Linked DNA regions of Xenopus tropicalis. The protein of the gene in region 2 purifies or fractionates together with the protein of the main gene of each other region. This does not show direct contact. Links are inferred from orthologs where the notes say so. Each region holds a gene or a part of one and is shown on either strand. Other genes may lie near its edges.

Region 1 (4,216 bases), on a different chromosome or scaffold from region 2:
TTGATCTATATTGCAAAGTTGCTTGAAATTATATTGTGCTTGGGTGGAGTTCCCCTTTAAATTTTTCAGAAATGGGTTAGGACAAGAATAGATAGTTATATCTCATCAGCAGCTGGAGGGCTTGCTTTTACCATCACTGCTAAGAGAGCCATTGTTTCTACTTTTCTACAGCTGCTTTGCTTTACATACAGTTATGACATCTACTGTCCGAACACCTTATAAAAAAACAGGATTTTTAAATTTTTAATATATTCAATTTTTGTTTCCAAATTTCCATTCTGTAAATTGTCATGACAATTGACAGCGTAATCAAGTTTGCTTACTAGTTCTATGTCTTGGGCTGTCCAGAACAATTAATGGGCAATTAGCCTAAATCTCACCATAATTATGTCTCAGGCTGCCCCTCTGCCCACTGCTCCTCCATTGTGCTCCCTGCGATTTAGCACCTGGTGTAATATTCCAGTGCTTTGACTGAGAGGCTCTCCTAGGGAGCCAAATTAAAAGGGTAAACAAGATAACTAGTAACAGTTAACAGATTTTCAGGTTAACATTTGTAAGCTTTGGACACTTAAGGTGGCCATACACGGGCCGATTCTAGCTGCCAATATCTTTTTAAAATTTTTACCCCTGATGAAGACCCTTGATGGGTTGAAATGCGTTTGACTATACTTGCTATGATGTGTTTTTCGTATTGAATAAATTTCATTTTTTACTTATTGGTTTTGAGTGTGGAGATACTTTTTGCTTTCTTTAATATTGGCCCTTTAGACCAGTTCGGCAGCTTATCTGCCCATGTGTGGACACAAACGATGGGCCTGCCCCAACGATATCTGCCCTGAAATCGGGCAGATCTCGCTTGGGCAGGTTTGATTTTTCCGTTGGATCAGGGACAGCATCAGCTCGTTGATGCTGTCCCCAATCCGATGGCGCCTATACCTGCCGTTCTAATTTGATCGATTGGCCCCAGGGCCAAACGACCAAATTGGCCCAATATTGCCCACCCATAGGTGGGGATATCGGGAGAAGATATGCTTGCTTGGCGAGTTTTAGAAAGTATTAGCCAAAGTATTTTATCTGGTGGAGAAACGTCATGCCATTTAGATGAATGGAAACTACCTGTCACTGCTGGGGACAAACCGTTTCCATTCATCTACATAACAGGTGGCACAGAGATGTATCTGGCCATTTTTGACTGGCATATTTCAGCGATACATGTGCCACTGGCCTTAGGCTTGGGTTCAACAGAATAATAAAAAATGGAAATGTTGTGATACTCTTGCATTAATAGTACCTTTATCTTTGCAATGTGTTCCTGACTCTCTAATTGATTTACCTACCTCTTATCATATTCCGCTTGCATTTGAATTTGTCATCTCAATGCCATTATGAATTCTTTCCAGGCTTTACATCACATTACTGAGCCATGGTGGAGTATTACGATGTCCTGGGAGTCCAGAGGAACGCCTCTCCAGAAGATATTAAGAAAGCGTAAGTATTCCCTGGTTTGACGCTGAGGATATCCACTCTTATGGGGGGATTATTAAAACCATAGCACCTGGATACTTTATACTTTGTTTTTTTTGTATATAAAATTTTTTTTGGCAAGGATATTTTAGCCAGGAGTGCCCTCCATTTCTCTAAATTGACGCTGAGGATATGACTGGGCCATTGTGTGACAGCTCCATACACAGGCTGATGGGGGTTTCCACTCAGGAGGGATTGATGATGATGACGATGATGAGGAGGCACATAAAAGGCATGAGAGAACATGGCTGGGAAAGGATTAATTAGAGGAAAGATATGGAACACCCTGTGTGGCGGAACCTTATTTGCAGTTTGAAAGTTGCATTTAATGTTGCATTTCAATACCAATTACTAAACCCTATTCTCAATCAACTTGTATTCCAGATACCGCAAGCTAGCCTTAAAGTGGCACCCAGACAAGAACCCCGACAATAAAGATGAAGCCGAGAGGAGGTTCAAAGAAGTTGCTGAAGCTTATGAGGTCCTGTCAGATTGTAAGTATCTTCCCAAGACTCTTCCAACTTCCTTGGCTTGTAATTGTTTCCTTACTAGGCGCCCGATTTGCCCAAGGAGTTTGTTTTCATATATGGCATGATCGTTATTCAGCTGACACGAGTGATAGATCCTATCAATATTTATAATTAGGCTTGGCTTAAGCATACTAATCACTGACTGAGCTAATGAATTTAAAGGAGACATATTGTGTAAAAAACAAGAATGTGGTAGTGCATTATGCTCCTCTAAATACAGAAGGAATGTACTTTAAAAAGTTGTGTTTCAGGTGGATTTATTGAAAATTTCTCCAAAAACCCCACTAGTCCCGCCCATCTGTTCCACTCCCTGCTGCCTCCTTTCCCAGGCTGTGCAGGGGGGCCGGCGGCACTCGGCACACTGCATTGTAGGATAGGAACCAGAATTAAACCCTGCCTTTGCTTGTGTGACTGCAGGGCTGTGGTTGGCTGTGCTTCCTCCAGGGACGATTAGGACACACCCACCTTTTATTTGAAACACCGGCAGGGACCTGAGAGGATCTATAAGGAGCTCCAATAAAGGGGCCACAGATAGAATTAAGCACCATATATTATTCATAATTGCCTAAAAGATTGAGGGGGGATTTCACTTATCCTACATTTCTTCTTTAAAAAAAATGGTCATTATGCCCTTTCTGCTGAAAAGGGGTTTACGGTAAAAGTAGATTATTGAAGGATCCTTTGTTAATTTGTTTTCTATATTGTTGTGGGTATTACACTCATAATAAGGTGCTGGCCACTGGTATAAAACTTAGATAACAAACGTCATGTTAGTAGCTAAGCCGTCATACTGCTTGGAGAAAGTGTCAGAGCGGCTTTTGCAGCCTATTTAAAGGAGAAGTACACCACTTCCTGCTTTGTCTTAGTCCAGTAAGCAGGTTAGACTGATCTGTTGTTTTGTTTGGTTGAGGCTGGTGGGACGCGGCGAGGCACTTTTGAGCCTGGCCCTCGTGTGTTGGAATGCATTGCTTATTTATAGCCGTGTCTGTCCCCAGCTGCTGGGGAGACACACAAATACATCACAACAATGTTCTGCCTCAGAGAGAGACTGTGTGAAATTGTATCCTGAAATGATTTGCTAACTCCACTTAGACTAAACGGCTTGTATTTTATTTATTTATATTTGTTTGTTTCTTTCCCTTATAGCTAAAAAGAGGGATATTTATGATAAATATGGAAAAGAAGGATTGACAGGTGGTGGAGGTAAGTGCTAGTTTCATTTTAAACTTTTAACGCTATATTTATACCTCATTTATGCTTCCATGCAACTTAGATCCATTTCAGGGCCGTCTAGTTGGCTAGAGACCCTAATGTGCTCTATTTAATTGCCACTTGAGACCCAGCTACAGTGTGCAGCCTTTTCTTGCAGTCCAAGCCTAATTACACAGTGCGAAGAGTTCTATCAGATTGCCACAGAAATTCCTTGAGACCACAATATTCCATGCTTCTATATCCCTGTACTATGTGCAACCTTAATTGTATTTGATTACCTTTTATATTAAGAACAACTAATGCCGTTTTTCTATCTTTCAAGCTAATTAGGTTCTTTCTTATTTTTATTTTAGGCGGCAGTCACTTTGATAATCCATATGAGTTTGGATTTACATTCCGAAGCCCAGACGATGTTTTCAGGGATTTCTTTGGGGGAAGAGACCCATTTTCATTTGATTTATTTGGTATAGTGCACATATTTGTATTTTCTTTAATCTTAGATGTTTCTGCCGGGTTAAGGATTGTAATGTTACAGGTATTATTATATTACTGGTGTCAGGGAGTAATTTATATCCTGTTTCTCTTCCAGCTGACGATCCATTTGATGACTTCTTTGGCAGAAGAGGCCACAGAGCAAACAGAAGCAGGCCAGGGGGTTCCTTTCTCTCTACGTTTGGAGGTTTCCCTGCCTTTGGTCCTACCTTCTCTCCATTTGACTCGGGTACAGAGATGCAATACTCCTTTATCTGCACACTCAAGTTTTTGTCCAATGAAGGGATAAATGAATGCACAGACATCTGCAAATGTTTTATGTGTGTCTTGATTTAACATTCCTGCTACTGATGCCATTTTTTTAAGGTTCCAAGAACGAAAAATTACCCATTACCGTTATTTATCTTTAAAATTTGCATCATGGCTACCATAGCCCTAAAAGGCAGAGCTTTTCAGAC
Region 2 (3,513 bases):
TTTAAAAATATCATTGAGTAACACTCTGATGTTTTCTATAATAAATAAACCATTTGTACTATTTGATTGAAGCCCTTGATTAACAATGTTAAAGTTATAGTACTGCATATCAGTTCATGCCACCACGTTAGCACAACACTATTTTTTATCTGTACAAGTTCATGCTGCATTATTGAATTAATATACTGGTATACCATATGGCCTTCATACCATGCACTAGCATTCATATGAAAAAAACATTTTTTTTAAACTGCTTGGAAAATGTTTTTTCTTTTTTTATGTTCAGATAAAAGAGACAAAGAAAGCTGTAAGAGATTCTGAAAGTGGAATTGAGAAAATGGCTATTGGTCATCACATCCATGACAGAGCCCACATTATCCAGAAAAGTAGGAATCACAAAACAGGGGATCAAGAACTCAACCAAGAATTCCTCAATTTGGATGAAGGTGAACATTAATAAAGCAGAAATTATGTTTTATATGAAAAATGTTTTATTTAATGGGCTGAATAGAGCCAACCCCTAAATGTACTGCTGTGGTTTTAACCTTTCTTTCAAAAGATACTATTTGTGCTTACTAACAGAAGGTGGTTTCATTGATTTTATTATCTGTGTAATTTGTTTGGTAATATGTTAATCACCAAATTTACTTTTTAGTGGATCATTAATAAAACTGCTAGTTTGGACATAATTCACCAAATATAAGTTGGTGTGCAATAGAATGTAAAACAAAAACAGGCACAAAACTGGGTTGTGAGTCAGGGGCACATTACCAGCAGTGGCAAAAAGCTACCCCTACAAAAAACAAATTTAACAAAATATAGGGCCCATGGTAAGAAATGGAACTGCAACCACAATCTGTGGTTTCCACCACTAGTCTATTAATCACAGATTGGTTATTCTAGTTGTCTGTGTGTAGAATTCTTTTTGATGCATGTTTTATTTTTGTGCTACATAATTTTGACTTGCAAACTGACTTGGTAAAAAGTATAATACCTGGACTTTGTGATCATATAATGCAGAGAATAAACTCTCTGCCCCAAGCAGCAGCACCCAGAAATGCTGGTGGGTTGTGTCTGGGGCAGTGGTAAATGAGACCTAATATCCTATTTCCAAATAAATCTCTTTAGACAGTTCTGCTGCAAATCTTTTATTTGAAAAAGTCAAATTAAAGTGTCTAAAAATAAGTGGTGGATTAAGCAATGTAATAGTTTCTCGCTCAAATAAATATTTCCATATTAGTAGCACACACTACTTACAGTATATCTAGATAAAATACAGAGACACTATGTATTTAGAAAAATGTATATTGCTATTGTTACTCAATAAGATACATTTTCACTTTCAGTAATGTAGACATTTATTCCTCATTGGATAGAGGAAACACATATCTCTGTAAACATGATGGCTTGAACTTCTGTTCTGATTGTGTACTTTTGTCCCACAGCTGAAGGGCCATCTTTTGATAATGAATGGCAAAGAGAGGTTTTAAAGATTAAGTCATTTCCAGGAAATGCAGTAGAAGCTCCAAAACACAGAACTGTTAAACATATACCAAGCAAAAGCCAGCCGCAGTTGCCAGCAAGGTGAGACTGTAATATTTTACCATAGTATTTTTATTTAAATATTGAGATGAAAAATTTGAAAAAGTGTGTATGTATTTATTATTGAAACAAGTACATCCCTATAATGTAGAAGTAAGGAAGTTCAGGTACCCATCTGCTCTGCACAACATGAAAAAAACTACTTTTCAAAATATGAATCTTCATATAAAGTTACCTTTAGGTCATCTAAATCATTTTTCATTGATATGTCTGCTTTTGTAAGTAATACTTGAAATTCCTAACCCTGACTGTCCCTTCTCAACCTGTCAGTTCTAGTTTCTTATGCTAATGGACTACTGTTGTACAAATATGGCAGCCCTCATAAAGGAGCTTAGGGGATCAGATAGGTAATGTAAAAGCATTGGGCAAATACTTTTATGGCAACATTATAAACAGCATGCAAAGACATGTTATGATATTTTAAAAAAAAAGTTTCAGGTGTCAGTATATCTTTAAGGCTATTTCACAGCTCTTAAACTAATTTATGTTTAGAGCTGTAAAATGTTGAGGCAATATATAGAAAAAACCCACTGACAGAAATAAACACTATAGCAACACCTATGGAGACTCACACAGACAAAAGCTTCTATGGGAGGCAATAGCATAGAAACTTAAATGTATTAAGAACAGTAATGTGGTTAGTTATGGTTTCTTTATGGGGAAGTGAATGGTTTTTAGAAACCTGCCTTAGGCATACAAATATTATGTTTAGCAGACACTCCTCCAAAAAAAACCTAGTGAGTAAAAGGAAAATCTAACATAAAATGCACACACTTCTGCTAGATTCAAGAAGACAGATTGGGAAAAGGTAGAATATTCTTTTAAAGATGTATATTCTTCGGTTCCTTTGCCAGTAACCACCAGAGGTAAATATACACACATTTGTATGATTCTGCCTGGGTTTGGCCAGGAAAGGGTGCTAACAATTCTGAACTATTAACTATGGGAAGGAGTTGGTAATATAGAAAGGAAAATACAATAATTACTAATTCCACACGTAATAATCAATATATTTATTACAGGGAGAAGTGAGACTCGGCACCAGTCACCTAAAAGCTGAAGTGTTCCAGCCAATGGTGTGAAACCATCTTGTGCAAGGAGATCACTAAATAAATGATTGAGACATGCACATGAGTTTCCTCTGCATTTTTTGGATGAGCTATCTGTTCTGGACTCTTATGTTGGAGGTGTCTCACCACTCTGTAGACATCTATATCTACATAATAAGAAATTGCATAGATTTTGTAGCAGTAACGCCTTGGGCATTGACATTAATAGGTGGCTATGATGCAAAGAAAATGTGTGGAAGTGTGTATTTATATATATATATATATAGAGAGAGAGAAATATATATATTGCACAGTTCATGGAAAGATAAGCTAGCACAGCATGTTTGTAAGGTAATGTGTACAATTATTTGTAAAAAGATTTCTAATTAAACTGGTTAAATATTTATCTCAGTTAATGCCCCCATTAACTATATTAGTTGCAGAGGCTTGTATAATAGCTGTGTTTGCTTTAGTGGTCTAGTGAAAATAATTCAATTAAAGTAATATTACAAATTGTAATTTTTTTAAATCATGAATAGTCATTGTGTTCTACATAGTAAATATGCTGGAACTAATTTTATACAATGATGTAGATTCTGTATTGTGCAACAATCAAAACTTAATTGTGATTTAATGTTTCCAATGAAAATAAATACTTTGTACGTTTAGTTTTTCTTCCGTTTATGATTAAGATTTCTGTTACAAGACAATTAACTCTAGGCTGTGTCCTGCAAACCATTCTCTGCAGCTTTCACTGAGATAATCAAAACCATTACCTACAGCTGGGAAAAAGATAATTATAATGGCATGCAGAAGCTGAAGGGCTGCACAAGCACTTTTGTCGGATGGCGTTGGATCTGAT

Evidence for each region.
Region 1: the proteins of mlf1 (region 2) and dnajb6 purify together in Homo sapiens (affinity purification with mass spectrometry; 3 studies listed by BioGRID and IntAct, counting the BioPlex papers as one, with this or other methods). This does not show direct contact. The link is inferred for Xenopus tropicalis from reciprocal best matches to the Homo sapiens genes MLF1 and DNAJB6.

What each region holds. Positions count from the first base shown.
Region 1 is NC_030682.2:17,675,038-17,679,253, forward strand, and holds the start of dnajb6 (dnaJ homolog subfamily B member 6), read left to right. Parts: upstream 1-1,410; 5' UTR 1,411-1,423; coding exon 1,424-1,488; intron 1,489-1,908; coding exon 1,909-2,018; intron 2,019-3,200; coding exon 3,201-3,257; intron 3,258-3,619; coding exon 3,620-3,730; intron 3,731-3,855; coding exon 3,856-3,987; intron 3,988-4,216. UniProt on the Homo sapiens protein: Has a stimulatory effect on the ATPase activity of HSP70 in a dose-dependent and time-dependent manner and hence acts as a co-chaperone of HSP70. Plays an indispensable role in the organization of KRT8/KRT18 filaments.
Region 2 is NC_030681.2:115,310,659-115,314,171, reverse strand, and holds the end of mlf1 (myeloid leukemia factor 1), read left to right. Parts: intron 1-286; coding exon 287-446; intron 447-1,445; coding exon 1,446-1,584; intron 1,585-2,624; coding exon 2,625-2,634; 3' UTR 2,635-3,319; downstream 3,320-3,513. UniProt on the Homo sapiens protein: Involved in lineage commitment of primary hemopoietic progenitors by restricting erythroid formation and enhancing myeloid formation.